Linked DNA regions of Schizosaccharomyces pombe. Changing the gene in region 3 together with the main gene of any one other region gives a genetic interaction. Each region holds a gene or a part of one and is shown on either strand. Other genes may lie near its edges. The genes, in order: pht1, ura5, set1 and clr3.

Evidence for each region.
Region 1: mutations in set1 (region 3) and pht1 together harm fitness more than expected from each alone (negative genetic interaction), as found in Schizosaccharomyces pombe (2 studies listed by BioGRID).
Region 2: mutations in set1 (region 3) and ura5 together harm fitness less than expected from each alone (positive genetic interaction), as found in Schizosaccharomyces pombe (2 studies listed by BioGRID).
Region 4: mutations in set1 (region 3) and clr3 together harm fitness more than expected from each alone (negative genetic interaction), as found in Schizosaccharomyces pombe (3 studies listed by BioGRID, with this or other methods).

Annotation. Positions count from the first base shown.
Region 1 is NC_003423.3:1,501,703-1,504,984, reverse strand, and holds pht1 (histone H2A.Z-like protein Pht1), read left to right. Parts: upstream 1-1,540; 5' UTR 1,541-1,923; coding exon 1,924-2,343; 3' UTR 2,344-2,782; downstream 2,783-3,282. UniProt on the Schizosaccharomyces pombe protein: Variant histone H2A which can replace H2A in some nucleosomes. Nucleosomes wrap and compact DNA into chromatin, limiting DNA accessibility to the cellular machineries which require DNA as a template.
Region 2 is NC_003423.3:1,226,972-1,234,564, forward strand, and holds ura5 (orotate phosphoribosyltransferase Ura5), read left to right. Parts: upstream 1-4,071; 5' UTR 4,072-4,107; coding exon 4,108-4,755; 3' UTR 4,756-5,387; downstream 5,388-7,593. Other genes in the region: nbl1 (borealin N terminal domain-containing protein), read left to right, coding at 791-905, 955-1,123, 1,195-1,336; GINS complex subunit Psf2, read right to left, coding at 1,505-2,056; acetylglutamate synthase Arg6, read left to right, coding at 2,320-3,822; MBF transcription factor complex subunit Res1, read left to right, coding at 6,364-6,589, 6,717-7,593. UniProt on the Schizosaccharomyces pombe protein: Catalyzes the transfer of a ribosyl phosphate group from 5-phosphoribose 1-diphosphate to orotate, leading to the formation of orotidine monophosphate (OMP).
Region 3 is NC_003421.2:409,494-419,415, reverse strand, and holds set1 (histone H3-K4 methyltransferase Set1), read left to right. Parts: upstream 1-3,468; 5' UTR 3,469-3,888; coding exon 3,889-6,651; 3' UTR 6,652-7,123; downstream 7,124-9,922. Other genes in the region: family protein BIG1, read left to right, coding at 1-34, 97-940; ins1 (INSIG domain protein), read left to right, coding at 1,839-2,411, 2,637-2,800, 2,884-2,992; condensin complex non-SMC subunit Cnd2, read left to right, coding at 7,349-9,577. UniProt on the Schizosaccharomyces pombe protein: Catalytic component of the COMPASS (Set1C) complex that specifically mono-, di- and trimethylates histone H3 to form H3K4me1/2/3. Binds RNA which might negatively affect its histone methyltransferase activity.
Region 4 is NC_003423.3:251,121-259,752, forward strand, and holds clr3 (class 2 histone deacetylase Clr3), read left to right. Parts: upstream 1-3,565; 5' UTR 3,566-3,701; coding exon 3,702-5,765; 3' UTR 5,766-6,018; downstream 6,019-8,632. Other genes in the region: GTP-binding protein Bms1, read left to right, coding at 1-1,379; cell cycle transcriptional repressor Whi5, read left to right, coding at 2,028-2,111, 2,190-2,864; rpl4301 (60S ribosomal protein eL43), read right to left, coding at 8,457-8,584. UniProt on the Schizosaccharomyces pombe protein: Responsible for the deacetylation of lysine residues on the N-terminal part of the core histones (H2A, H2B, H3 and H4).

The DNA.
Region 1 (3,282 bases), on a different chromosome or scaffold from region 3:
AATAATATAATAGCTTAACATTTGTTATCTTTCGATAAAGCAATATATGTTCTTACGACGTATGTTTTAAAGTAAACAATCGTCTTTATTAGTATGAAACTATGAATTGGTTTTTATGAAAAGCTAGTTGAGCAAAATTAGCGGTTTGGATTCGACATCTGAATAGAATTTTAGTTAAACTTGCTCCCACACTACTTATGCCCAAAGTTTTACCGAAGTTGACAGTTTAATCAACAATTCCTGAATTTGCTTATACTTGGTGTATCCTTTCTAAAAAAAAACTAGAAGATTTTTGTTACTGTACTTGAAAATACCTATTATAATCTGTGGCTACAACATCACAAGGTCAGAGTCTATACCCATTGTTCTTGGCTACAAAAGATCAAGTCCAGAAGGAGCTATCCATAACCAATATTACAAGGCATGCAAACATATTTTGAGAGTACATCATGACTTGTTAGGCAAGTAGTAAGAAAGACGGATATAAAAAAATAGCCTACAGCACCCCGGATTCCCATGTTGTCTCCAACCATAGTACTAACGAGGCCCTCAGACGCTTAACTGCAGTGATCGGACGGGAACTGGTGTTTTCGCCTAGGTATGGCCGTAGACATTAAACATTCTAGTTTATAAATTATAAAGGTTAGAAAAAAAGTTTACCGGTAGTTTATAAGTTGTTTGAAATTAATGGGTAAAGGTTTTTGTGCTTTTATTTTAGTTTATTGCAAACATAAATCAGAGCTTTAAAGTTTGTATTTAGTATAACCATACATTAAGAATTGCGAAACAACTGCAGACTCCAAATTTAGACTGGAAAACGTCTTACTCGGAAAAGAGATTTTGCTGCTATTTTATCATTATTAACACTCACTTTGCTATTAACGTTACAGTCATATTAATATCATACCCAAAAATTTGAAATCTTTTTTCCGCATGAAAAAGAATATAATATAATGTATATGCCTCCACTCGGAATCGAACCAAGGATCTTCGCATTACAAGTGCGATGCTGTACCACTAAGCCATAGAGGCAGTATCGTCGGAATGTATTTATTAAATTATATATACTAATGCTAGTTTTAATACTCGACAAGTTGGCTGGTCAAAAAGTAGTTTCTTAATCTGCTGTTACTGATCGCTTTCGACAATAACAATTAAATAATAGTGCAGTTTATTTATTTAAAAGTCTTTTGTTGACATAGGATTTTGTTCAAGATAAATGGTTGAATATAGTTTAGTAGAACTACAACCTGCAATCAGGCAAAAAGCATGAACAAACTAATATAGCTCTAAAGTAAAAAACTATTTGAATCATTTGCTATACAGATTATTAGGCACCGACCCTTCAGTTATTTGACTACAAATGTTAACATGTCAATAAGTTAGGCATTCTCTGGTTTTCTTGATGTAAATAAACTGACGACATGTACCGTATCTACGTAAGAGCAATTAACGAATACTGTAACCATTTCTTATAATGCTTAACAATGTACGACATACCGCAGTGCACCCAAAAGTTTGAGTAAACTAGTACAAAGGTGTTTGGCCTCCATACACCTATGGATGTTCAAGAAAAGGCGAAAACCTAAGGATCAAATAAGTTTTTGATTAAATAAATTATATAAGGGTATTTATAAACTTACATCTATGAATATTAAACCCACAATATGAGAGTATGCAAATATGAGACGTTTCAAGAATTTAGCTGATTTTTTTATACATTAAAAAAACGTTTCATCCTTTGTCAATATTCTATAAATTTATCCTCTGTTGTTAGAAATTCGAAAACTTGATGTTTAAAGGTACAGCCCCTCTGTACGCGGCTTTATGATATTAAGACACGCACCTCGCGTTCACGAATCTGCCTTCTCCCTAACACACAAAACATTCGCTTTTTGCAATTGCAATAATCGATTCAAAATGATGTCTGGAGGCGGTAAAGGTAAACATGTTGGAGGTAAGGGAGGTTCTAAAATCGGCGAACGCGGTCAAATGTCGCATTCAGCTCGCGCTGGTTTACAATTTCCTGTTGGACGTGTTCGACGCTTTTTAAAGGCAAAAACTCAAAATAATATGCGCGTCGGTGCAAAAAGTGCTGTATATAGTGCTGCAGTCCTTGAATATTTGACCGCTGAAGTCTTGGAACTTGCGGGAAACGCGGCAAAAGATTTGAAGGTCAAACGTATCACACCTAGACATCTTCAACTTGCTATTCGAGGTGATGAGGAGTTGGACACTTTAATTCGTGCTACAATTGCGGGCGGTGGTGTATTGCCTCATATCAATAAACAGCTCTTGATTCGTACAAAGGAAAAATATCCCGAGGAGGAAGAAATTATTTAATCATTTTTGTGTTTTCGTTTCTTTTTACAATCTAAGGATTTATTTTATTTAATTGGTTACCTTTTTCTATGATTAAAGCATGGAAAGTAAAATGTGCATGCGCAGTTTAATGGAAATGCTCTTCCCTCCATGTATTTGCTCCCTTTTCATTCCTCTCAAGCCTCCAAACAAATTTGTCCTGCGTTTCATCTTTAGACGTTATATTTCCAATATGTCTCGTTTCATTCTGTCCAATTACACTTTGCCAGGTTCAATCGTTAGTATGTATCCATGCATCTAGTGGTTTCTCCTGCGCTGTTTAGTTTTACTTCTTGTTTATACGATTTATTAATTTTGAATTTTTCCAAACGCTCTAGGTATAGACTTAAGCTGTAAATGATGCTCGCTTAGCGTTCAATATAGTGTGAAATACAAATATTCATATCACTTTCATCTTGTAAAATTTAATAAACACGTATGTCTGTTGAACAATAAGCACATTTACGTTCTTTTACCGTTTGCTCGTAAAATTAATTCACCTCTTTGATACTAAATACATCTAAGTAAGTGCAGTTTATATGTTCAGAGCAAACACGAACACTAAAAACTAAAGTCTAAAGAATATACACCTTTTTTAATACTTAAGTATAAAAAATATGTAAATAGAATATAGTATAAATGAGGATTAAAAAACTGGAAAACAAAGGATAAGAGTAAGTAAGAAAAAGGGAGATTAAAAGGCTTCAGTTTTATCAGGAATGAAAGAAAAATAGATTTAAACACTCAGAGCCTGCTTTTGTAAAAAGAACGGCGATAATTCCCTTGACAGTCAAAGAAAGCATTTAAAGTGATATTTACAATAAAGACACAGTAAAGGGAACAGAACTAAAAACGTTACTAAATTCACATTTAATGGCAAGCTCAATATGTCAGTGTTTTTTATATGCCCTGTAAATTGCC
Region 2 (7,593 bases), on a different chromosome or scaffold from region 3:
AAAATTCTGCTCGTTACGGTATATTCGTCTCGTTGGTCGGTTGGTTGGTTTAGGTGGTTTGTAACTCCGCAGGCGCTAGCGACTACCAATGGTAAGCAGCTATTCTTTACATATCGGTAAATGTGTATAACGATTATTGTCGATCTTTCCAGGATTGCAAATAGTGAGGACGGCTTGCAGTGCATTTTGTCACAAACGAATATATAATCTTATGTACACATATGATAATGTCACTAACTGAATGGCATAACTATTTTCTTATGAATTGGGTTAAAAAAAAGCTAACAGTCGAAATATAATACAACAGAGGTTGCATTGTAGCGTATGGCACTGGAACACGTTATACCAAATATCTTTTTTAAACAGTTTTCAATGTTGTATGCGATGTAGTTGAAGAGGGAGACTTTTACCTCGTACAATATTTTTTTATTTGATATTATTAATAATTTACTTAGAAGTAAGCATCATCAATTCTTATGTACCTTTTAAAGTGATGTGTTTCAACGCTTTTATTTTGTAAACTTGCTGCTTTTTTCTAATTCTAGGTCATTATTCTTCTTTCAATTTATAAAATATCTTTTGGGTACGCTTTTTTGTGCAATCCTCTCCTTTCTAACGTTTGTTTACATATTGAGTATTAGGTAACGATGTTACTTACATATTAGTTGAAGATTTATTGTTTATACAACAACTCTTATTCCCACCACCTTTTCAGCGCACCCAGAAGTACCGTCTTTTGATCAGCTGTTAGCAAACATCTGTTTTGTTTTTTGATAATTTATAATGCTTAATGATGAACAAGCGTAAAAGAGTGGAAGAGCTTGGAGAGACGAAACATCGTCAAGTACGACAGCGAATTCTCCAAGAACACAAGAACGATATACTTGAAAATTTAGCATTTGAACGTAAGTTTTTGTACCTGGAAGTAGTAAAGTGTTAACGGGTATTTTTCAGTTTCCGATAAAGTACGACGTTTGCGCTCAAACGCTAGTTTACTTGCTTCAACAATTCGTATGCGAGGAGAAATGCGTATCGCCGCTATTCCTCGCGCTCAACGAAATATGCATCTGCGCGATCTAAAGAACCATCTTTCCTGCAATGTGTCTGCCACACCGTGGAGAACGTAAGTGTAATATCAAATTTTACTTTGCCATACGTACTACTGGAAACACTAATTGCTAATTACTATTTCAGAAAAATAAAAGAATTTTATAATCTAGACGAGCTTTCCTCCCAAAAGTCCGCTAGACAACCTACAAAAACGGTGGCATCCTCCTCTTCTTCTTCATCAAAAAGCACCACCGTTTCCAAATCGAGTTCAAAGTCGCAAGTGTGAAACCCTCATCTACTGCTTACTGTGATAAAATTTCACTACTACAAAGTTGGTATTCATAAACACTTCGTAGGATTCATTATCATTATTTTTAAAGTACATCATCCACACGATACCGAAATATTCTCATGTGAAGTCCATTTATTTCCCACTTTACTTTTGATGAGTAACTCATTCTTCTTGGGAAACTTGAACAATTTTGCGCATTCTGTCCATCACCTCTCGAAATATAGGACGTATTTCGTTAATTTCCATTGCACCCAAATTATCCAAAGTTAGTTGAACTTCATTAATGGCTTCCAATCCCGTTCTTGCTTTACTTTGTCTAGCTTCTCGAATGTCCAGCAAAATCCTCCTGATATCCTCAACATCCTCGATATCATCAGCACAGAAGTTTAACAATAAATGCGCCGTTTCTAGCCACCGAAAAGGCAACTCTGAGAATGTCTCGTTTTCCAATTCATCATCTCGTATGTTTTCAAGTTTGCCTATTTCCATCCATTCCGGAGGTACAATCCTTGCCAAATTTTGCTTTTTTAGCTCAAGAGCCAACCATAAAGGAACCCGACATTTTTTGGGAGGCTTCATAATGGGAATCGTCGCGCTAACTAGCGGCAATTGATCCATTGTTTCTGAAGGAACAATGTTAATATACTCATTGCCAGCTAAAAATTCCATTTCCTCTGGTGAGAATGAAATTTCAAGTTCCCTTGGTAAGGCCATCTCTATCACCAACGAACAGTACAAAAATGCCTATCAATAGTACCGTTTTTGGGCTTAATGTCTTTTTTTATTTAAAGTTTTGTTTTTCTATTTTGGAGTTCGTTTATAGCATTTATTGGTTGTTATTCCTTACAGCATAATTTTTTGTGTGGTGGGTTTCGGACTCATAATAGTCACCCTCATCTAAATCACATCTTGCTCTTAGGTCATCGGTATATGATTGTCAAATTTTTATATTTCTCGTTTTAAGGTAATAATTTTGAATGCAAAAACCTTCATTGTCACAAGACCTTATTTGGATATTGAAATCAGTCCAATCTCGTAGGTCTACGAAAGGGTTTTTGCAAAAACATTCTTCGCTTAAGGATGGCTCTCCCAACAAGAAATCCTTCGCTCAGCCAATATCGAGTTCGTTTTTAAACAGAATTTCTATTACCAAAATTGATGATGTGGATTCTTTAAGTGATAATACCCTATATGGAATTGGTCGAAGTATAAATAGCCTGGCACGTTTAGGGATTCAATCAGTGATTGTTCCCACTTCCAATCCAATTGGCATGACATCTCCTTTTAAATATTTGGAGAATGGTACGGTCGTAGCGAAAAAACGTAAACTTTCAATCTTTGAGGAGCTACAGCAACAGCAAAATAGAGTCATTCGAGTTTCGGAAATTTTTTCGAAAGCGGGAGTGTTAACCCGTCCTAGCTACTCCTCTGTATGTCAATTGGGCCCTGAAGGCCCTAGTGTTGAGAATGTGCAAGGTATTTTTCAAGCGCTGTCTTCACTTTACACGGTCATAGTGCCAAGCTCGATTTTAATGCCCAACGTCATTGAGGTTCCAATTGATGGTAATGAGGTTCTTGCTGGTTTAACTTACTCGTTACACAAGCCAAACTTTGGGTTTTGGGTAGACCGAATCGTCATTCTTGATAAAAATGGTGGCATGCCATGTTCTAAACGACAAACTGGTTCTAGTCATGTTCTCATCAATCTGGCTCAAGAGTTTGACGAGTTAGCGAAAACACTTCCACCTTATCATAGAAAAAATTTGATTTTGGTAAGACGCTGTTTGAAAATGTTACCGGATGATGCCTCTGCTCTAATCACTACGCCTGAGGATGCTATGCTTACAAATCCTGTCTTAGACAAAAATCCGTTAATTCACAATGTTTTGACGGATCGCTCTATTATTTCATGTTCCTTGCCGCGCGATCGATCTCCTATTACGAAAACAACTGTTTTGCGTAGCGGTGTACCGGTATATACATTCCTAGGTCCGAAATGTCTAACTGATGGCTCCGTTTCGTGGGAAAGGCTTTGGGTTTTAATTAATGACTCCTTTAAGCGAACGCTTGATATGGACGCATATTTAGATAGGTTGAAGAATTCGCTAGCTGCAGTCATTATTGCAGGGGACTATTTAGGGACAGCCATTGTAACTTATGAACAACCAGATGGAACAACGAATGAAAAGGTCCCTTATCTTGATAAGCTTGCCGTCTCACAAGGAGCCCAGGGTTCAGCAGCAATATCTGATGTTATGTTTAATGTTATGACTGATTTATTTCCCAAAGAGTTGATATGGCGCTCTCGCCTGACTAATCCAGTCAATAAATGGTACTTTGAAAGAAGTGTAGGCTCCTTAAAGTCAAGCAAAACACCTTGGAAACTTTTCTGGACTGGAGACTCACATGTCAGAAATTTGGATCGAGTGAACCAGTATATGAGCGTTATTGATAAAATTCAGCCAACATGGTTGAATTGAGTGGAAGTTAACGATTGCACTTTATCAGAGACAAGATTATTTCGCTTCTTCAAAAGCACTTGTCAAACTTTTTAATAAAAGGAAAAAAGTCCATTTTGATAGGACATTAATTCTCTTTTGCACATTAGATTATAGATTGAGTAGTTTGCCTACAAACTTGCATTTTTCTTTAGTTATGATTTTTGTTTATTCCCCCACATAACCCCCATGTAGAGCTTAGAAAAGGTGATACTAGCTTTTTTCTTTTGTGAGTATCAACGTTTATCAACAAAACTAGTAGTAAACATGTCTTATAAACTTGAGTTGTTGCGTCGTGCCTTAGAACATAATGTTTTGAAGTTTGGAACTTTCACCTTAAAATCAGGCAGAAAATCTCCATACTTCTTCAATTCTGGTAATTTCACTCATGGTGCCGATTTATGCGCTCTTGCAGAAGCCTATGCCGAGACTATTATCGCTATGAACGTTGATTTTGATGTCATATTTGGTCCTGCTTATAAGGGTATCTCTTTGGCTGCTATAACGGCCGTCAAACTTTATGAAAAAACTGGAAAGAGCTATGGATTTGCCTATAACCGCAAAGAGGCCAAGTCCCATGGTGAAGGAGGTAACCTTGTAGGCGCCGAAATGGAAGGTAAAAAGGTTTTACTTTTGGATGATGTTATTACCGCTGGAACTGCCATTCGTGAAGCAATTTCCTTCTTAGAACCTAAGCACGTAAAATTGGCTGGTATCGTCCTTTTGCTTGACCGCCAAGAGCGACTGGACCCCGAAGTAAACGAAAGTACCATTGGTAGATTGAAGAAGGAGCTTAACTTACCCGTTTCCTCCATCCTTACTTTGGACGACATTGTTGACTTTACCAAATCAGACTTAACTGCAGCTGAATCAAAGGCAATGGATGCTTACAGACAGCAGTACCAAGCCAAATGAGCTTATGGTAATGTTTCTTTTAAAAATTTGGAAGGAGGAAAGAGAATAATTGGATAAGTATCTTTTTTGGTTTTTAGCTTTGCTTTTTTAAAGAGAGTGAAGTTAGTTGGTATTTACATATGTTATAGAATTTTTTTATCTGTATATTTGTGGTGATAGATACAACTCATATTAGAAGGAATTTTCTATAAAGCGATTGCATTTAGCGGTATTCAAAAATTTCTCTATAATAGACGAAGGAAATTGGTTTACTTGTTAAGCTTTTGTTTTGCACATATCCATCTATCTTTTGATTAGTTCCGTGAATCTGTTTTTTTTGTGTTTGTTTCTTCTTTTGTGTTATTCGAATCTTTCCAAGATGACAGTTAGGAATGAAGCTACCAAAATATTGAGTTGAGGGATAATTAATGTTTCACAAAATGGTATTTGTGTATTATTTTTGTAAAAATTTGTAGGATTTGGTTTTTAGTGATGATTATTTACGTTCGAAAGACGCATATAATGGGCAATTATAAAAAATTTAGGATTTTATTTTTCAATTCTGCGACGGGTATTTATGCTCTGTGTTTGAAATACCAAATATTAAATAATGGTAAAACCTTTAAACAGAAGCCTGGTGATTAACTTTTTATTATGACAAGAAAATGTTAAGAAATTTTGGAATGTTTTTATTCTCATATTCAATGTGAATTTGAATAAGTAGTCACTGCAGTCTATAAATAAAAATGGTTTATTAGAAAAACTCGAGTTGAACAATGAAATTCTTTATCATTTATGTAATACAATTGGTTTAACATAGTGGAATCGAATGGTACAATAATTGAGTTACTAATATGTAACCTTCAAGTATTTATCGTTTACCACTAACTCACCATAAGAGAGGGTGAAAGATTTAGTTCTGTTTGTGTGAGATCTTAAAAAAGCAAGCAAATTTCCTTTTTATCAAAAAAAGGATCCGCATTTCCTGAAGCACTTTACTGTGATTTTAGGGATTTTTTTGGTGAGTAAGAAGCAGTGTTTTTCGATTTTTCTGAGATCTCGCTGTTGAAAAAATCCGGACTAAATCGGCTCCGTAGTCGATAAACCCAAATCTACAGCTTTTTGATTTAAATTATACAAATCGTGATCTGGAAAGTTTCGAAAGGTTTCTGTCCTTACATATTAAAGTTCTTGGTAGTTGAGTATCTTACATCAGCTGGTAAGATACGTGGATTTTTAGGGATAGCAGAGGTCTTTAAAAACATCTGTTTTTAACTCAAAACATAGAGTTAAATACTTTTTAATTGAAAAAATCTTTGAGGCAAACGCCGCTGAGAGAATATATCCTTTCTTTAGTGCATGCAGTTAGTATCATATGTATTTCCGACTTTATCTGCTATAAATACTCGGTTTTCAAAAACTATCGATATTTTGTAGAGGAAATTTCAATTTGCTTCTTCTTTCTCATTTGCTTCGTTTTTTTTTTTATATGATATTAATAGCTGGCGCTGTGGAGTTGAGACATTAAATTATTACAAACATTTAGAGAGACGAAACGTTGTTATTGCATCAAGTTTTGAAGCTCTTCCTTCCTTCCTTTTTTTTAAATTGCTTGCCAATAGTGCCGTTATGTATAACGACCAAATACATAAAATCACCTATTCAGGAGTGGAAGTATTTGAGTATACGATCAATGGCTTTCCTTTAATGAAACGTTGTCATGATAACTGGCTTAATGCCACGCAAATCCTTAAAATTGCAGAGCTCGATAAACCCAGGAGGACAAGGATTCTGGAGAAATTCGCTCAAAAGGGACTTCATGAAAAAATTCAAGGTGGTTGTGGAAAATATCAAGGTTTGTGTTAACTTCTTACTATATCAATAGGTTTAAAACTACTTAAATAACATAAAATTTTTGTCTCTGTTGTTTTTATTTATCAATTTATACTTTTTTGGATGCCTGTTACTAACTATTCATTCAGGAACTTGGGTACCCTCTGAAAGAGCTGTTGAACTTGCTCATGAATATAATGTTTTTGATTTAATACAACCTCTGATTGAATACTCTGGCTCTGCGTTCATGCCAATGTCTACGTTCACTCCTCAGAGCAATCGTAAGCCTACAGAAGCATATCGACGAAACAGTCCAGTAAAAAAGTCATTTTCCCGGCCTTCGCATTCTTTACTCTACCCTTACACATCTTCCAATAATATGACATCTACTTCTAGAATGTCAGGAATCCATGATGCTTTGTCTCTTCAATCTGATTTCACGCGCTCTCCCGATATGCCTTCTGATTCCTTTACGGGATCTTTGCACGATATCAAAGCTTCTCCGTTTTCTTCAAACAATTATGCGCAGTCTCTCTTGGATTACTTTTTATTACCAAATACTACACAACCTCCTGATTTCGTATATGATCGGCCATCAGATTGGGATGTTAATGCTGGCATTGATGAGGATGGTCATACAGCACTTCATTGGGCTGCTGCAATGGGAAATTTGGAAATGATGCATGCACTATTGCAAGCAGGCGCCAACGTAGTTGCTGTCAATTACCTTCAACAAACATCTTTGATGCGCTGTGTAATGTTTACCATGAACTATGATTTACAGACTTTTGAGGTAGTTTCGGAGTTGCTTCAATCTGCTATCTGCATGAACGACTCTTTTGGCCAAACCGTCTTTCACCACATCGCATTATTAGCTTCTTCTAAATCAAAGATGGAAGCCGCTCGTTATTATATGGATATCTTATTGCAAAATTTAACTGCAACACAATCCGTTGATGTCGCTGCCCAAATTATAAACCTTCAGGATGATCATGGGGATACCGCTCTTTTGATCTGCGCTAGAAA
Region 3 (9,922 bases):
ATACTTCGCCGATTTTCTTATTTTCTACGAACTCGTATGTCCTGCATCCATCGATGGCATTATACTGTGTAAATTATTTAATCTAACTAAAAACAGCAAACTCCCCAAATCATCCGATGATTCTTCAATATCCACTTGCCCTATGATGTTTTTTGACGCCGCAATTGAGGCACTTTCGACATGCAATACAGCTACCTTAATTATACATCAACCAGGCCTTGAGGTTAATGATTTTCAGTTGGGAGCTTTTAAACATTTAAAGCGTGTTTCTTTGCAATCACCCTATAGCTTACTTCTTCCTTATTCCAAGGAGTCTTTGGACTCACAAGAGTTGGTGCATTCGGCAAAGCAAAACTGCGACGTTGAGGTAGTTTACTTGGGTGGATCCTTTAATGCTTTTCCTCCTCTTCAAAATGATCGCATAACTGTTGTTTACATGAATGAACTGTCAAATGAAAGTTATCATAGAAGTGCACAATTAATGGAATTGGATGAAATGTTCTACAACTTACAATCTACCTTGGAACAAGATGCTCAGTGGAATGTAATTATAGCCTCTTCTCCTTTGAATAACTCAGATTTTGAAGGATTTAAGGTTGATGCTAACGAAGAAGAGGCCAATGCTGAATTTGTAATTCAAACGCTAGGTGGTCTCAACTCAGGGAAGAGTGCTCTTCAACACGGCCAATTGGCTTCTTTACCTGATCAAAATGAGGGATCACAAACCACGCTTGCTATGCACCAAACAAGGAAGCACCCTGTCACCGACAATGGTGCGACGGGACTGTTTACCGAATATCAATTTTTTACTCCTGGTTTGTACATGGGTTATTTGGCATTGGCTGTATTGGTTCCAACTTTGTTTATTTCTTGCCGTTTACTTTCCTCTATTCAAATCAGCTATCACGCTTTTGATAGTCCTCGACGCAAACAGTTATAAACCTCTTCTTAAGGTGAATAAGCTGAAGAAGTTTCAATTTATTTCTTTCTTTCATAATTGATACATCTCACACTTAATTTAGAAGAAAATTATTGTCATAAATGGTTCTTGATAAGTATAGTTTGGTGACATTTTTACCTTTCAGCGCAATTCCTTAGGTGTCCAAATGGTTAGAATGATCTTTGTTTTTTAATATATTGAAGTCTATTAAATAGTTTTTTGGACTGAAGAATTTATTTCTTGTGATGAGACAAACTTTATAACCATAATATTGTTTTTTCTTTATGATGATTCTCTACGGAAGGTGAAAGTTGTTGGCATCATGTAGTCAGCATAACTTTGTTTTGCTTTTTGTATTCTATTCAATTAATATTTTTGTTTTGCGGTTTTAAAAATAGTAGATGAATTTGCTATACTTTGAATAAACTAGAGAAACCACTTTAGGCATACAGACTCAATTATGAAATTTCCTTAATTATTTAAAGCAATTTCTTCGTGGCTGATTGTTTCGTAGAATGAGTGTTTGCGAGAGTTTTTTCCTTGGATATTTTCGTTATTAGTTAACATTGTCATTACTTATGGCATGCATCTTCAAGTGATCAAAGCACAATATACCTTAACAATAAGAGTAATATGGATGCAGAAAAGTTTTGAGTATATTTCTATAATTTAGAAAGGTCAAATTCACATATAAAAGTGATTGTAAATATTTATTCATTTCAGATCTCTCTTACTTGAGATCTTTGTTACTCAAAATTGTTACTTGTCACTGGGCTATGCGTGTTTTGTGCAATGTCTCGATTCTGCCAAGTACCTAAACGTAAAGATTGATTCTTCTCCATCCATTTAGTCAGTTTCACAAGGATCTCTACAGAAAGGTGCCGTAAGCTTGAATAAAATGAGCAGAAAAGAGATTTACGAACCCCGTCCGCGCTACCCAGATGGTTATAATGGAAATCGAGCGGTCAAGAAGTCCTTGTCGGTACTTTCTTTGGACAATATGAAATCGACACTATCAGGGCTTTTTGCTCCACTTAAATTAGATGAAGAGCAGGCAGAAGATGATGAATCCCTGAGTAGTTATGAAGATTACGCGTCTAGACAGATCGATGATGATTTAAAGAAACAGAGAAAGAAAGGGATAACATTTATAGACTATTCATCTTTAATAACTTTTTTTTGTAAGCTTTGTGTTATATTTGGATTAGGGTTTGTGTTTACTTATTTGGCTGAACAAATTGTGCAAGATGCAAAGCTACCACTTCTGACGGTCAATCTCAAAAGTTGGAAATTTGAGCCCCCATGGCCTGCAATTTTTGGCTTCGTTGCTGTCATACTTGGACTCTCTTATCGACGTATGGATACGAAGTATCCTTTGGGAGCTGCCCCTTTACGCCCTTCACAATCGTCTAAATGGCAATGGATTTCTCGGTATCTTGCTGCTTTCGCTACATTGCTACTTTCTATGAAGGTAAGTTTTACATTATACGAGGCGTTCCTTTAAATAAAAAAGTGAAATATATATGCAAGATGTATGGAGTTACAGCAATTATCTATGCGTAACGACTTCTTGATATAGTTTATTCATCACCATAAATAAGTTGTGCTGTTTTCTGAGAATTTAAGTTTGATAGTAAACCCTCTTTGCCAATGCTTACTATGCATCGTGAATATACTCTTGCTAACTTATCTCTAGAAATTACTATTTATTTCGAATTCACACTCCATTGTTGCACTCGTTGCGAGTTCTGCTAGCATTTGGTATATATTTGATCGCTCAAGAAACGGTATTATTTTGTCGACAATTACTTCTGTGTTGGGGAGTATCTTATATTATAATTTGGTTGATACCTCAAAAATGTATGTTAGTTGTTATCCATCAACTGCCTACCAAAGGCTGCTCCAGTATTTTCAAACATTCGTTTATCAGCTAACAAATTTAGTGAGTTAAATGGAGTTGAATTCCCTGAAATTCAGTTTCGTTTATGGATTCCTATGATACTTTTCTCCGCTTCTACGATTGTTGGTAACGCTGGTCGTCTACTATTTTAATTTATTCTCTAGGAGTTGGTTGTTTGTGCTTTACGTTCTCTTTTTAGCCTTAGACTTCATTATCCAAAACAACCGGGTTAAACTTGTTTTGCTAAATGTTTTCCTACTTCGCATCTGGGCACTTATTTGGTTTTTCTGTATTCGATTATCCTTTTGTACCTTCTCGTCTCATTCATCGTTGTGTGCGAATCGGTTTTCTATCATGTACCAACAATCTTTTCATGTTAGTATTTTCTATTATGATTCCTAATATTCCTCATGTAGTTTATAATTATGTCTTTGTTCTAAAACATTCATCTACAAGTTTTCCTTTCTCAAGCCATTTATTCTTGCTTCTCTTCAGCAACATTGGTAGTGTAATATGCAACGGTATCTTTGGATAACGATTTTACTAAATTTCGCTATAAGAGCTACTGTGGCGCGTAATATGAATTGGCCTACCTTACACAAACATCCACAGAGATCCTATAAACTTTGTGTTTGGCCAAACGGATGTTTGACAGAGCTTTTTTACTTGTTATTAGCCTTATGAACGTATTTATTTGAAGACTGATCAAGTTTTACTTGAGTTTTTGAATATTGTTATAATTTACAAAGTAACGTCGCGCGACATACTTTTCCAATTATAAGCTGAATTACGGTTCAAATACTTTACAATAGAAAGCTCTTCATCCCGGCGATATTATTTCTTTTTACATAACGTTTTTTTTTTCATAATTTGTCAAGGCTCATTATTGGAATAAATTACACTTATCGAGTTGTTACCAAATTTTTGATTTTGATTTAGTGCACAGGTTTTTAATATCTCTTGATTTTTTTTTTTTTTTACTTTATAGCTCTTTTTTGTTTTGATCGAATGCCTGGGATTTGCTACTTGGATTCAATATTAATCAGCCATGGATTTTAATACCTCTACGCGGTCGAAATCTCAACCCGTTCAAAGGAATAATTACAAAGTTTTATACGATCCAGAATTAGGAATCAAGGAGAACCTTGGTCGCAAAATTATATATCGGTTTAATGGTGTTTCAAAACCACCTTTAGTAGTTCGCGACCCTAGACTTAAAAATCCAATATATGCCCGCGGTATTCCTAAAAGTGGAAGGCCATTTTTAAAATCTTTGCAAACTATAAATTATGACTACAATGAGAATTCATTAGGTCCAGAACCTCCAACTCAGGTTTTTGTTTCTAACATCTCACCGCTCGTGACTTCTGAACAGCTCCGATATCATTTTAAATCATTTGGGGAAGTTTTCGATTTAGACTTAAAGTTAAACCCTTATACAGGTACTTCTTTAGGGTTGTGCTGTATATCTTTTGACAAGCGTAGTTCCATTTCTGTAGCAGCACATTCAGCGAAAATTGCTGTACAACAAGCAAATGGCTTGAGGTTTTCCGGTAAGCCTCTTTCAGTAGTCCTTGATCGGGATGGTTCATTATGCGAAGAAGCGTTCAAGAAAGCTTTAAATGCTGTTGAAAAGCAATTTCAAGAAGAAACTTTACAGAAACAGAGATTCGAGCGGGAAGATGAATCTTCGCGGCAAAAGTTATCTGCAGCTATGAATGAAGATATTCCTCCTTGGCGTCAACCATCGAAAAATTCACAAACATTGAGCAATGGAGACTTGCAACATTCTAAAGTTCAGAACGTGGACCAGAAATCAGGTTTTCTTACGTCAAGCGAGACTGATGTTCCAAAAAATATTAATGATTATATTTATTTACTAATTGACGATCGCTTTGTCCCTCCAGATCGTGTGTATTATACTGATATAAAGCATCATTTTCGAAAATTTTTGTATGAAAAGATATACATGAACAAAGACGGGTTTTATATAACTTTTAATAATTATCGCGAAGCGAGCAATTGTTACCGTGCGCTGGATCGTACATACGTACAAAATTGTCGCATAAAATTGAAATTTCATGACATTCCTTCACGTACAAAGGAAGATGGAAAAAAGAGCGCAGTACGAAGAGTTGTTTTACCTCCCGAGGAAGCGTACGCTGAAGCAACCTCAGTTGTGCTTAGAGATCTTGAGGCTGCTTTGTTACGTGATGTAAAAAGTAAAATAATTGGACCGGCAATCTTCAAATATCTTCATTCAATGCCTAAGCCTTCTGTTAAGGAAGAACTACAAGAAAATTTATTGGTTTCATCTACAAGTGTTCCTGATGTTCCTTTAAAAATTGAATCAACAGTCGGAAAGCTCCCCAGTCTTCCCAAATTTAAAAAACGAGTTGATTCCAGTAAAATGAATCTTTCAGCGGGTAGTAAAACGAAGTCGAAACTTCAAAGAAGACGTAGAAGAAGGCACGAAGCTCGACCTTTACACTACCAGCTTAATCAAATGTATAACTCAAGCGCTTCTGAAGCCGAGTCTGATCAAGAACTTTTGTTATCTTCTGGAGACGAGCGTGTAGAAAGAGGGAAGATTGGCTCAATAAAGTCTGTGAAGTCTGACGAGGCGACTCCAGTTTTTTCTGATACATCTGATGAAAATGACAAATTCCATCGTTTTCGTACAAAATCTAAAATATCAAAGAAAAAATATGAAAAGATGGAAGTTGACTATACTTCGTCCAGCGAAACCGAATCAGATGCATCAATACTTTCTCCTAGTGCTGCGATTCCAAAATCAGGTAGCGCCATAAAAGATGAACTCATATCGCCTAAGAAAGAGATTGATGAAGTTTTAGCTTTAGCTCCCAAATGGCGTATTAATGAGTTTGATGAAACTGGAAGCGTTTATTATGGTGCACTTCCTTACAATTATCCAGAAGACGATGTACTTCTTGACTTGGATGGTCTACAGTACTTGGTAAAAAATGACGAAGATTACTCATATCTTCAAGAGGCACTCAAGGATGAACCCCTCATGGATATCAACGATCCCAATTTCTGGGCTTATGAACGCAAGTCATGTAAATTTAAGAATGGGGATGTTAAGTATGGAGATACGGCTATTCTTCCAGAACCTAAAGGTTATTTTCGCTCTAATACTAGCGGTTCTGCTAAAAGTGAGGGATACTATATTATTCCAACTACCGAAAAATCACTATATCTACCACTTCGTAATCGATCAACCATCGATACTATTAGTCATTCTACAAGCCGTATCACATCACGAATGAATCGTGTTAACAATAGAAGATTGGCTGCTGGAGTTGAAAAGTCTCAATTGCCAGCCGAAGCTGACTTGCTCAGATTCAATGCACTAAAGGCTCGTAAAAAGCAATTACATTTTGGCCCTAGTCGCATTCATACATTAGGGCTTTTTGCCATGGAAAACATTGATAAAAATGATATGGTCATAGAGTATATTGGAGAAATCATTCGACAACGGGTGGCTGATAATCGTGAAAAGAACTACGTTCGTGAAGGTATTGGAGACAGTTATTTGTTCCGTATTGACGAGGATGTTATCGTTGATGCTACAAAAAAGGGAAATATCGCGCGTTTCATCAATCATTCATGCGCTCCTAATTGTATAGCTAGGATTATTAGAGTTGAAGGGAAAAGAAAAATCGTAATTTATGCTGACAGGGATATTATGCATGGAGAGGAACTTACTTATGATTACAAGTTTCCGGAAGAAGCTGATAAGATTCCTTGTTTGTGTGGTGCTCCAACATGTCGTGGCTATTTAAACTAGACAATGATGCTCTTGGAGAATTGATGGTACATGAATATATGGGCAGCTGTACAATTATAATAGTTCGTTTAAAAAGCACGCATTATATCTGATGGTACACTAATGCTTTTTATTTTTTAATATAGAATAGAATCAATTTTCTGTCTTACATCGTCTGCATTTGATATTGGTTGAATATTTTGAGAGTCAGGATAAATGCGCATACCATTCAGTGGATTGCATTCAGGAGTGATTTAGAAGTAAAATGTTAAGAGATATACTGTCTTAGATATATCCATTTGCTCCACAATACTACGAAGTTCAAGTTTAAATAAACGAAAACGAAAAATAAAATTCTCTTAAAACTTGATAGCTACTGAATTTTAGGATCCAAACTTGATTTGGTATTACCTTGTTAATTTTATATGGAAGATTTATAATAATTGAAACTTCACAAAATTTGTAACAGAATAATAAACAAAAGACTTTTGACTTTGTAATCGGGAAGCCATCAATGAAGTAAATTGGGAAATACTATATTATTTGAAAACAAATTTCAAAAGAAAAATAATGTTATCATATTGGCATTTATTTAGAAACTTATTTGAATCTTTATCATTTGTTGATTAGAAAGAAATATACGGCATATCGTTAAAGCGCGATATACGTATAGGCACACCGACTTACCACTTGTGAACATAAACATTTACTTAAATCAATGAAAAGAGCTAGTTTAGGCGGGCATGCGCCCGTTAGCTTACCCTCCTTAAATGACGATGCATTAGAAAAAAAAAGAGCTAAAGAGAACAGCCGTAAGCAGCGCGAGTTGCGAAGAAGTTCAGCTCTGCACTCAATAACGCCAAGAAGAGAATCTCTAAACAATTCTTCACCATTTAATAGCTCTCATCAGGTTCCTGTTCTTTCTAATTTTGAGGAATGGATTAAATTAGCTACTGACAACAAAATTAATTCCACAAATACCTGGAATTTTGCGCTTATTGACTATTTTCACGACATGTCGCTTCTACGTGATGGTGAAGATATAAATTTCCAAAAGGCAAGCTGTACATTAGACGGATGCGTGAAAATTTATACTTCGCGTATTGATTCTGTTGCTACTGAGACCGGCAAGCTACTCAGTGGATTGGCAAACGATTCCAAAGTATTGCAGCAAACGGAAGAAGGCGAAGATGCTGAAAATGATGATGAGGATCTACAGAAAAAGAAAGAGAGAAAGCGTGCACAACGTTCGGTAAAGACTCTCGTTAAAGATTTCGAGTCAATACGCGCTAAAAAATTTGAGTTAGAATGTTCTTTTGATCCTTTATTCAAGAAAATGTGTGCAGATTTTGATGAGGATGGTGCTAAAGGCTTATTAATGAATCATCTTTGTGTTGATCAACATGGACGAATTGTATTCGATTCTAGCGATACTGTCATCAAGGATTTGGAAAATAAAGATGTTGAAGCTGAATCGCAGGAAGCGGTAGTCGCAGCGCCTATCGAAAGCCATGACACAGAAATGACTAATGTGCATGACAATATTTCTAGGGAGACCTTGAATGGTATTTACAAATGCTATTTTACCGATATTGATCAGTTGACAATATGTCCCTCCTTACAGGGCTTTGAATTTGATAGTAAAGGGAATCTTGATGTCTCTCTCTTAAAATCATTAAGTGATGAAGTTAACATGATAACGACAACCTCCTTAGTGGATAATACGATGGAGAAAACTGATGCTGATGCAGCTTCCCTTTCTTCCGATTCCGATGGTGAAGAAGGACATATTGTGCATGCTTTGGAGGAAATGGCTTACGATGAGGAGAACCCATATGTTGATGTAGTACCAAAAGCAATGGACGAATCCGAAAATCCAGATTTTGGTGTGGATACTGAAGTCAATATGGCTGATGGAAGTACTATGAATGAAAATTATTCTATTATTTCTACTGCCGCTGCGAATGGAGTATACGAATATTTTGACAAGTCAATGAAAAAGAACTGGGCTGGACCCGAACATTGGCGCATTCAGGCATTGAGAAAAAATATCAATAACGCATCAACTGTATTCAACTCTTCCAATACGGCTGAAAGTTCAGATAATGTATCGCGTTCTCTTTCTTCCACGGAACGGAAAAAGCGTCGAGAACTTGATAACGCCATTGATTTCTTGCAGGAAGTAGACGTCGAAGCACTGTTCACTCCTGCAACCAGCAGTCTCAAGCTTCCCAAGTCTCATTGGAAAAGACATAATCGATGTTTACTACCTGATGACTACCAATATGATTCTAAGAGGCTTTTACAGCTTTTCTTGAAACCAAAGATGTCAGTTCTACCCAACGCTGATGGAGAAGGACAGCTACAACTGAATAAAGCCTTAGATGATGAGAATGATTTGGACGGTATTCAACCCCATGGATTCGATTCTGATGGCAGTGATAATGTTGATGAAGGAATACCCCCGTATGGATTTGGAGATTCCGATAGCCCTAAGCAAACACCTCTGCTTACACCTCCATCATCATCAGGATTTGGTGATAACCTTTTGTTAACTGCTCGTTTGGCAAAACCAGATATGCTGAATTATGCGAAGCGTGCTAAAAAGGTTGATGTGCGAGTACTGAAAGAAAAGCTATGGAAATGTCTAGATCTTGAAAACACAATTAAAGAAAATTCCATCAACTCTCATATTGAGGGTTCGGAGATGGAGTCAGAAGAAACCAACATGCCAGTCAAATCTTTTTTTTCCACTGTCAATCAATTAGAGGAGACATACGAGAAAAAAGAACTCAAAGATATATCCACCAGTTTTGCCTTTATTTGTGTTTTACATTTGGCGAATGAACATAATTTAGAGCTTACAAGCAACGAAGATTTTTCAGATGTTTTTATTAGGCCAGGTCCTAACTTGACGACGCTAGAAGCATTAGAAAATGATGTTTAAAGTGTGTAGAATCGAAATGATGCAGGTCATCATTAATTAGTCATCATCGCATACTTTTAGCTAGCGTGAATCATTTTCAAGATAGCCGGAAATTATACTCTTTTTGATCTACCTTGAATAATAAAAACACTAGCTCGTATTTTTAGGCTGTTACTACTTTTTGACATTGAAGAGTTGTGAAAAATGAAGAGTGCAAATTGCATTTTGTGGAGCAAGCTGACAGCGAAATTTTTTGTAAAAAATACACCTTCCTTTTATCTTGTGATCGTTGAAGACATCAGTATCTTGCTTCTGCCTGTTAATTCTGTTGGAACTCACTTAGCAGTTGACTCTTTGGAAATAACG
Region 4 (8,632 bases), on a different chromosome or scaffold from region 3:
GTAAAAAGGAGGAGCTACGTCTTCGTTTTGAAGAGGAAGATCGTGGAGATCCAGAAAAGAAAGACGTTGACTGGTATACGGAAGAAAAGGAAAAAATTGCACGTCAGCTTGTTATAAATCGAGAAGCTTTTGAGGATATGGATCCTGAAAGTCGAGCTGAAATCGAAGGCTATAGAGCAGGCACTTATGTACGTATCGTAATAAACGACGTTCCGTTTGAATTTGTTGAGCACTTTGATTCTCGCTATCCCGTAGTTGTTGGTGGATTACTACCTAATGAGCAACGGTATGGATTAGTTCAAGTTCGTATTAAGCGTCACCGTTGGCACAAAAAAATACTTAAAACGAATGATCCTCTGATTTTTAGTATGGGTTGGAGAAGATTTCAGTCGATACCTGTATATTCAATTAGTGACTCGCGTACTCGAAATAGGATGTTGAAATATACTCCAGAACACATGCATTGTTTCGGTACCTTTTATGGACCCTTCGTCGCTCCCAACAGCGGTTTTTGTGCGGTCCAATCTGTAGCCAATTCGTTCGCAAAGGCGGGTAGCTTCCGAATTGCAGCTACGGGCTCAGTATTGAATATCGATCAATCGACCGATATTGTTAAAAAATTAAAATTGACTGGTGTTCCCTACAAAATATTTAAAAACACAGCATTTATTAAGAAAATGTTTAGTAGTCCTTTAGAAGTTGCAAAATTTGAAGGTGCCAATATCAGGACTGTTTCAGGGATTCGAGGTCAGGTTAAAAAGGCAGTTGATCAGGAACATGGACATTTCCGTGCTACATTTGAAGACAAAATTTTAATGAGTGACATTGTATTTTTGCGGGCATGGTATCCGGTACAAGTGCGAAAATTCTGTACAATGGTCACCAATTTACTTGAGACGGATAAAACGGAATGGAACGGTATGCGGTTAACAGGAGAAGTTCGGCATGAATTGGGATTGAAAACTCCTTTACGACCCAATTCTCAGTACCAGGAGATTGTTCGACCCTCTCGACATTTTAATCCTCTCAAAGTGCCTGCCTCGCTTCAAGCTCAGCTTCCATTTAATTCTCGTCAAAAAGCCTTACGTCCTAGAAGCAAACCGACGTACATGCAAAAACGTACAGTTTTGTTGAATGCAGAAGAACGGAAGGTAAGGGATTTGCTTCAAAAAGTAATGACTTTGCACACGGACAAGGAAGCGAAACGTAAAGCAAAGAAAGCAGCAGAACATGAGCGGTATCATAAAAGGATGCAAAAAGAGGAGCAAGCATATATTGAGAAGAAGCGGGAAGAAAAAGCTGAATGGTTTGCTCAACATGGGAAGAGATTGAGACAGGATGGTAATTCTTCTGGTTCAGGGAAAAGATCAAAAAATTAGATTTTTAAAAATGCGTATTCTTTCTGTTTTATTGAGTTTGTACTGGTGCGTCATAGACGAACTTTTACAACTACATATACATTTTGGGAATTTAATGGGTTTAATATTTTATAAATAAAATGTGTTTATTATTTTCTGTGTACAGTTTGCATTTGAGCTTTGTCTCTCTTGTGAATGATTTGTATCAACTATAAGGTCATGTAACCAAATAATTGGGAGAATATATCTATGTTTCTGAATGCAATTTTTTTGGTCTATTTGCAACTTCTCATCGACGAAAACGGTGTTTACAAAAAGACAAAGGTACCAAGTAAATTGCATATAACCGACATCAGTATATTCATGTAACTTTGGCTGATAATCTTATGTTTTTATTGTTTGTATGGTAGAGTGTTTTGTTACTTGATAATTCTGGTGTTCTGCCTGTTGCTTTTTTCAATCGTTTGTACGGGCAGGCGCGACTTTCGACTTACCAACACATCGTTCAACGCGTCTTGTTTCAATTGAAACAATTATATGCTATACGGAGGATTATTTGATTGCAATTGGATATTATAAAAGGAATTTATCGAAAGGAGAATTCGAATAGGCTAATAACTCGTCATTTTTATATACCTGCATACAGACGAACTCAACAAATATTAATTCATGGCAGGCGGCCACAAGAAAAATGAAGCTACAAGGCAGACTGATGAAGTTATTCAACAAAAATACGATGAATCATTAAGCAAGGTATGTCAATTACGCAAACACAATTAGGTAACATCTCGACGATACAAATAGAATCGTCGATGAATAATTTTGGTTTAGCATAAAAATCGTTGCGAATTGTCATTAACTTTTGAATACAAGTTATCAAACAAACTTAGGGCTCGTTTGAAGGCAGCGTTTTTTAAGGTCGATCATGGATGGGAAGATCAGACATTAGATCAAGTGGAAACGCTTGTTCGTAAGGAAAATCACGTTCATCGTAGATCACGCTCGATCAATGACTTGGACTCTTCTAAGCTAAGAAGGCCGCATCACCCCAACTCAATTATGGGATCGAATACAGGCAAGCTGCGTGCAAGTTCATTTACGCGATTGGTGAGCCCAAGAGAGGGCTTCGCTCAGCTTCCTTATAAGAAGCCTGTATCTCCTTACTCATCTTCTAGTGCTGTTTCTTCTACGTCCTCGTCTTTTGATAGAACTAGTCCTCCTTGGTTGAACTACGTTGAGCCTCATACTGAGCTACCCAGACTGCCATTTGAACTTAGCCATGCCTCCACTGCTTCAGCTAAATCTCCACTGTTCGGAATGAATTACCATATTTCACGCCCTGAAGAAACCGATGAGTCTCTTCGCCTTGGCACTGCAAACCTCAGTAGAATTCGCAAGTCCACGAGTCTTCCTTTTCCAACGGCTTATCCCCTATCGGCAGATGATTGCAAGGCAGCTGAAGTTATGCTTACGTTGGTGAATTCTATGCCTTCGAAAAAACCATAACATCCTTCATTTTAGATGGTATACGAGCATTAAGATATAAAATTACATAATTATTTCATGAGAGTTAATCTATAATTTGGATGAATAGATTGATTGTTCACATCCTGCTGAAGAATTTTTGGAAAAATCTCGTTTGAGAAGTTTTGTTATTTCTTGCTATCCGTCTCCAGTCCTATGGTTGATGAGCTATTAACCCTCTATATGTTTAAATGCTTGATATGTACAAGCCAAATTGTGATAATGCTTAATGATGTTTATGACAAAGGGTGAATGTTTCCGGGCGTACAACAGTCTTAAAGATCATAGAAACATTATTTACCATGTATTTATTAACGTTCTTCCTACATCTTGATCCTTATGATTTGAAATGATTATTATATAAGATAATGGAAATTCGCGAACTCGCAAAATTATGCATTCATTTCGAAGTATGGCTCGAGACAAAGCTATTTTTAAGTTTCTAAGAAAATAAAATAAATAAATAAATAAAAATAAGACCCTCCCATGAGCCTCATTACAAACTCTATTTTTTCTCAATCTCCATACGTTCAGGATCAATCTTCTATTTAAAGCCTTACTAAACGTCTTAATTACTTACATTTTTATTCTTTACCAAACAAACTCCTTTGTTAGCATGGTTGAGATTATATTCTCTCATTGCTCCTCTATACTTATGTCTTAGAAGTACCAGCAACAGTTTTGACGACCAAAACTACCTATATCGAGTGAGCCGCGCTTCAAAAAGTGTTTCGACAGTTTTATGAGGGAGTTGTTTAATAGGAGATTTTTTTATTAATTTATTAATTGATTGACCTTTTTAAGGGCGATAGAAAACGAATGCTGGCCTCTAATTCTGATGGTGCATCTACTTCTGTAAAACCATCCGATGATGCTGTAAACACGGTAACTCCATGGTCTATTCTTTTGACAAACAATAAACCAATGTCTGGAAGTGAAAATACATTAAATAACGAATCCCATGAAATGTCGCAAATCTTGAAAAAATCTGGATTATGCTATGATCCTCGAATGAGATTCCATGCCACTCTAAGTGAAGTGGATGACCATCCTGAAGATCCAAGACGCGTCCTTCGTGTTTTTGAAGCTATAAAGAAGGCCGGTTATGTATCTAATGTGCCGAGTCCGTCAGATGTATTTTTACGGATTCCGGCTAGAGAAGCTACTTTAGAAGAGTTATTACAAGTTCATTCACAGGAAATGTATGATAGGGTTACTAATACCGAAAAAATGTCTCATGAGGATTTGGCCAATCTCGAAAAAATCAGTGATTCTCTATACTATAATAACGAAAGTGCGTTTTGTGCTCGATTGGCTTGTGGTAGCGCAATTGAAACATGTACGGCTGTCGTAACTGGTCAAGTAAAAAATGCCTTCGCAGTTGTTCGCCCTCCTGGCCATCATGCAGAACCCCATAAACCTGGTGGCTTTTGTTTATTCAACAATGTTTCTGTAACCGCAAGGAGTATGCTACAACGCTTTCCGGATAAAATAAAAAGAGTATTGATTGTCGACTGGGATATACACCATGGAAATGGTACGCAAATGGCTTTTTATGACGATCCAAATGTTCTATACGTTTCTTTGCATCGATATGAAAATGGTCGTTTCTATCCTGGCACCAATTATGGGTGTGCAGAAAATTGTGGAGAGGGCCCGGGATTGGGTAGAACTGTAAATATTCCTTGGAGTTGTGCTGGCATGGGAGATGGTGATTATATATACGCTTTTCAGCGCGTCGTAATGCCTGTTGCTTATGAATTTGATCCAGATTTAGTTATTGTAAGTTGCGGCTTTGATGCTGCTGCAGGAGATCACATTGGTCAATTCTTGTTAACTCCAGCTGCCTATGCTCATATGACACAAATGTTAATGGGATTAGCAGATGGGAAAGTTTTTATCTCCCTTGAGGGAGGTTATAATTTGGATTCTATAAGCACATCAGCCTTAGCTGTAGCCCAAAGTTTGTTGGGAATTCCTCCTGGACGATTGCATACAACATATGCATGTCCACAGGCCGTTGCTACCATCAACCATGTAACCAAAATACAATCCCAATACTGGAGATGTATGAGGCCGAAACACTTCGACGCAAATCCTAAGGATGCCCATGTAGATCGATTACATGATGTTATTCGAACTTATCAAGCTAAAAAACTTTTCGAAGACTGGAAAATTACCAATATGCCAATACTAAGGGATTCCGTTTCCAATGTATTCAACAATCAAGTACTGTGCTCTAGCAATTTCTTTCAAAAAGATAACCTTCTCGTTATTGTCCATGAATCTCCTAGAGTCCTGGGTAATGGAACTAGTGAAACGAACGTTTTGAATTTAAATGATTCGCTTTTAGTAGATCCCGTGAGCCTTTATGTTGAATGGGCTATGCAACAGGACTGGGGGCTTATCGACATAAATATACCTGAAGTGGTTACGGACGGTGAAAATGCACCGGTTGACATTCTTTCTGAAGTGAAAGAACTTTGTCTTTATGTATGGGATAATTATGTTGAGTTGTCGATTTCAAAAAATATTTTTTTCATCGGTGGAGGCAAAGCGGTACATGGATTGGTTAATTTGGCATCTTCCAGGAATGTGTCAGACAGAGTTAAGTGTATGGTGAATTTCCTTGGCACTGAACCTTTGGTGGGTCTTAAAACGGCATCAGAGGAAGATCTTCCAACGTGGTATTATCGTCATTCACTCGTGTTTGTGAGTTCTAGTAATGAGTGCTGGAAAAAGGCAAAGCGTGCTAAAAGAAGATATGGACGACTTATGCAAAGTGAACATACTGAAACTTCGGACATGATGGAGCAACACTATCGAGCGGTTACTCAATACTTGCTGCATTTGCTTCAAAAGGCCCGACCAACTTCTCAGTAACATTCGTTATTGACTTATGATTTTTTCATGGTTTTCTATTCTTTTAATTGTCACACATTTAACCTCCTTAAGTTATCTACGTTAAAATTTATAACGGACATTCATGATTTGCCAAACCCGCTGAATGATTCGTACTCAATCTGCTAAGCTGCTTTGTCTCTTTTACTTATACTTTAATTCGAGCTCATTATTCTCAAGGTTGGTGGATTTTGACTTTATTTTCCAGTAGAATGTATACACAAATGGTTTATTGTTATTGCTGGCTTCATTTTATTCATGTTCAATATAATTAAATAAATAAGGTTATAATATTGTTTTATAAAATAAAGCTCCTCAAATCCGTGATATTATTTTAGTTCAAACAACTATTGTTGATTTTTGTCGTAATTTTGCTTAAAAGCATTTCTCTAAAGCTGAGGGAAATCCCTCATCCATTTTTTGTACCGCAAAAGGATAATATTATAGTATGTTGTTTAAATTGTAAAATTAGATTCATAGTACAAACAGCATTTAAATTGTTTTCTTATTCTCCAATATTAATAACTATATCACACAAAAAAATTGATTTGGTTGTATGGTGTAATGGTTAGCACGTGAGATTCTGATTCTCGAGACCTGGGTTCGATTCCCAGTACGACCTTCATGAATGATGGATGATTCTGTGATGTTCAACTTTTTTAACTAATCCAAATTGCATGAATGATAACCGGTCAACAGTAATTGTAAATGTAGCAACTTTACTATTAAGGAAGGCTGGCTTTTTTTTTTTTTAATAAAACGACTTGATCCTATATTATATATAGCACTAAACATTTGCGCAATAACTCACAAGTCAAGGTGTTAGCAACTGGTAGAAATCTTGTAATCTCCCTTGCCTAGAAGATTACTCTCTTGTCGTAGCACAACTGCATTTTATTTGAAGCTGCTCAATACCATCTTACTTTGGTTATTACAGACAAGTAATTACCCAAAGTATCATTTGAATCTAATTTTAGCAAAAATGTAAAAAGGAACGGTTATAAAGGTCGTACTGGGAATCGAACCCAGGTCTCGAGAATCAAAATCTCACGTGCTAACCATTACACCATACAACCGTTCGAATGCTAGGTAAATTTTGTTATTATTATACTATTATATAATATGATCTCTATATCAACTATTGACATTTCACATGCATGGAATTATATTTAAACAACCCAATTGTGAAGTGAATTAAATGCTGCCTATATTTTTGTGCTGTTTCAAACTTCAAGCTGTCTTTTATTCCTTTAAAAATTCAATTGAAAATATGCCTCTAATATTTTAAATATAATAAAAATAATTAATTGCGAGTATATTCAATTCAAGCAGGTTCAAAGGCAAGTGTATAATGCTATTATTTTATGAATGTATTCAATGAATTAAACGTAATATTGTATGTAGAACTCGTAAATGTGCCATAGATGGAACTTTGTAGTTGAATTTGTGTCTTGCTTTATTTAAATTATTTTCTCCTTGTACGACTTTATAGCAATAAGCAAAAGTAACTATTATTTTTTATAAATTACTATTTTCACAGACAGTATAGTGAAAAAGTGATTGAAATAGAAACAACACTTAAATAAATTATGGAATAAAAATAATTAATATAAGTATAAAAACAATGTGTTGAATTGCTTGTAGTAGGACCATCTAGTTTGTGTATGTTGAAGGTGAGTGACTTAAATTACAAATAAAATAAATTTGAAACCTACTTTGTTTAAAGTAGATTCAATTAAATATTTAGAATCCAGTATATCCATATTCTCGTCATCTTAATTAACATAGGTATCTGAAATATACGACCTGGAGTAATGCTCAAAGTTAAATGTTCCTTAATACTTTATATTTACTCACAATCCAATGCTTACATTTAAAAGCAAGCAGAAAAATGATAAATAAAGCCAAAAAGAAAGCTGAGTAGTAGTTTAGGAACGAAAAAACAGGTCGTACTGGGAATCGAACCCAGGTCTCGAGAATCAGAATCTCACGTGCTAACCATTACACCATACAACCCTTATTAAACGCCTGAAGAAAATAAGAGTATATATATTACATAGTGTATCATTTTATCAAATATATCGAAGTAGTTGAATTTGCATAAAATATTCCTTTAGCTGAGGATTTCAAGATTCAGTGTTTGTAAACGTAAATCTAACCAGTCAAGTGTTTTCCATTGCTATAAAATACCTCAAACGTATACAAAATGTACCTTGAAAATGTTGGTAGTTAATTTTAAAGAATTTTGGATTAAAAAAGACTTTTTTTACAAATGATATATTATGTTGATAAATTGCAATCCTGAAGCTGGCAGATATGACCTTAACAGCTTTACTATTGTTATCTACGCGCATGACGGATTTAGCTGAAGCAAAAAAAATAAAAAAAATTATCTCTATTATTCTAACCGACAACTCAGTAGTCTTATTTTGTTATTAGCATTCGTATGGAAAAGCAAGGTACTTCCACTTCCCACGAAGTGCAGCACCAATATACATGCTGTTCAAATTCGTACAATTTTTTACTAACATGCAACTAAAGTTTATACACCATCCTACAAAAAATTGCTACCCTTACAAATTTACTACTAATTACAGAAAATAAATAGGACGTGAACGTAATTACACCTCTATTAACAAATGTAAAGATGCTCAATAGATTGGTCATGATTTTTTAGACCTCAACCATCTCACGGAGACGACGAATGGTGGAGCGAGCACTAGTAGCAGCAGCAGTGGTGACAGTCCATGCACCTCCAGCCAAAACCTTTTTGCAGCCCTTACCGTTGCAGCACCAGATGCCTATTTCATAGTTAGTAAATCGCTCTTTATCGTACGACTTGCATGATA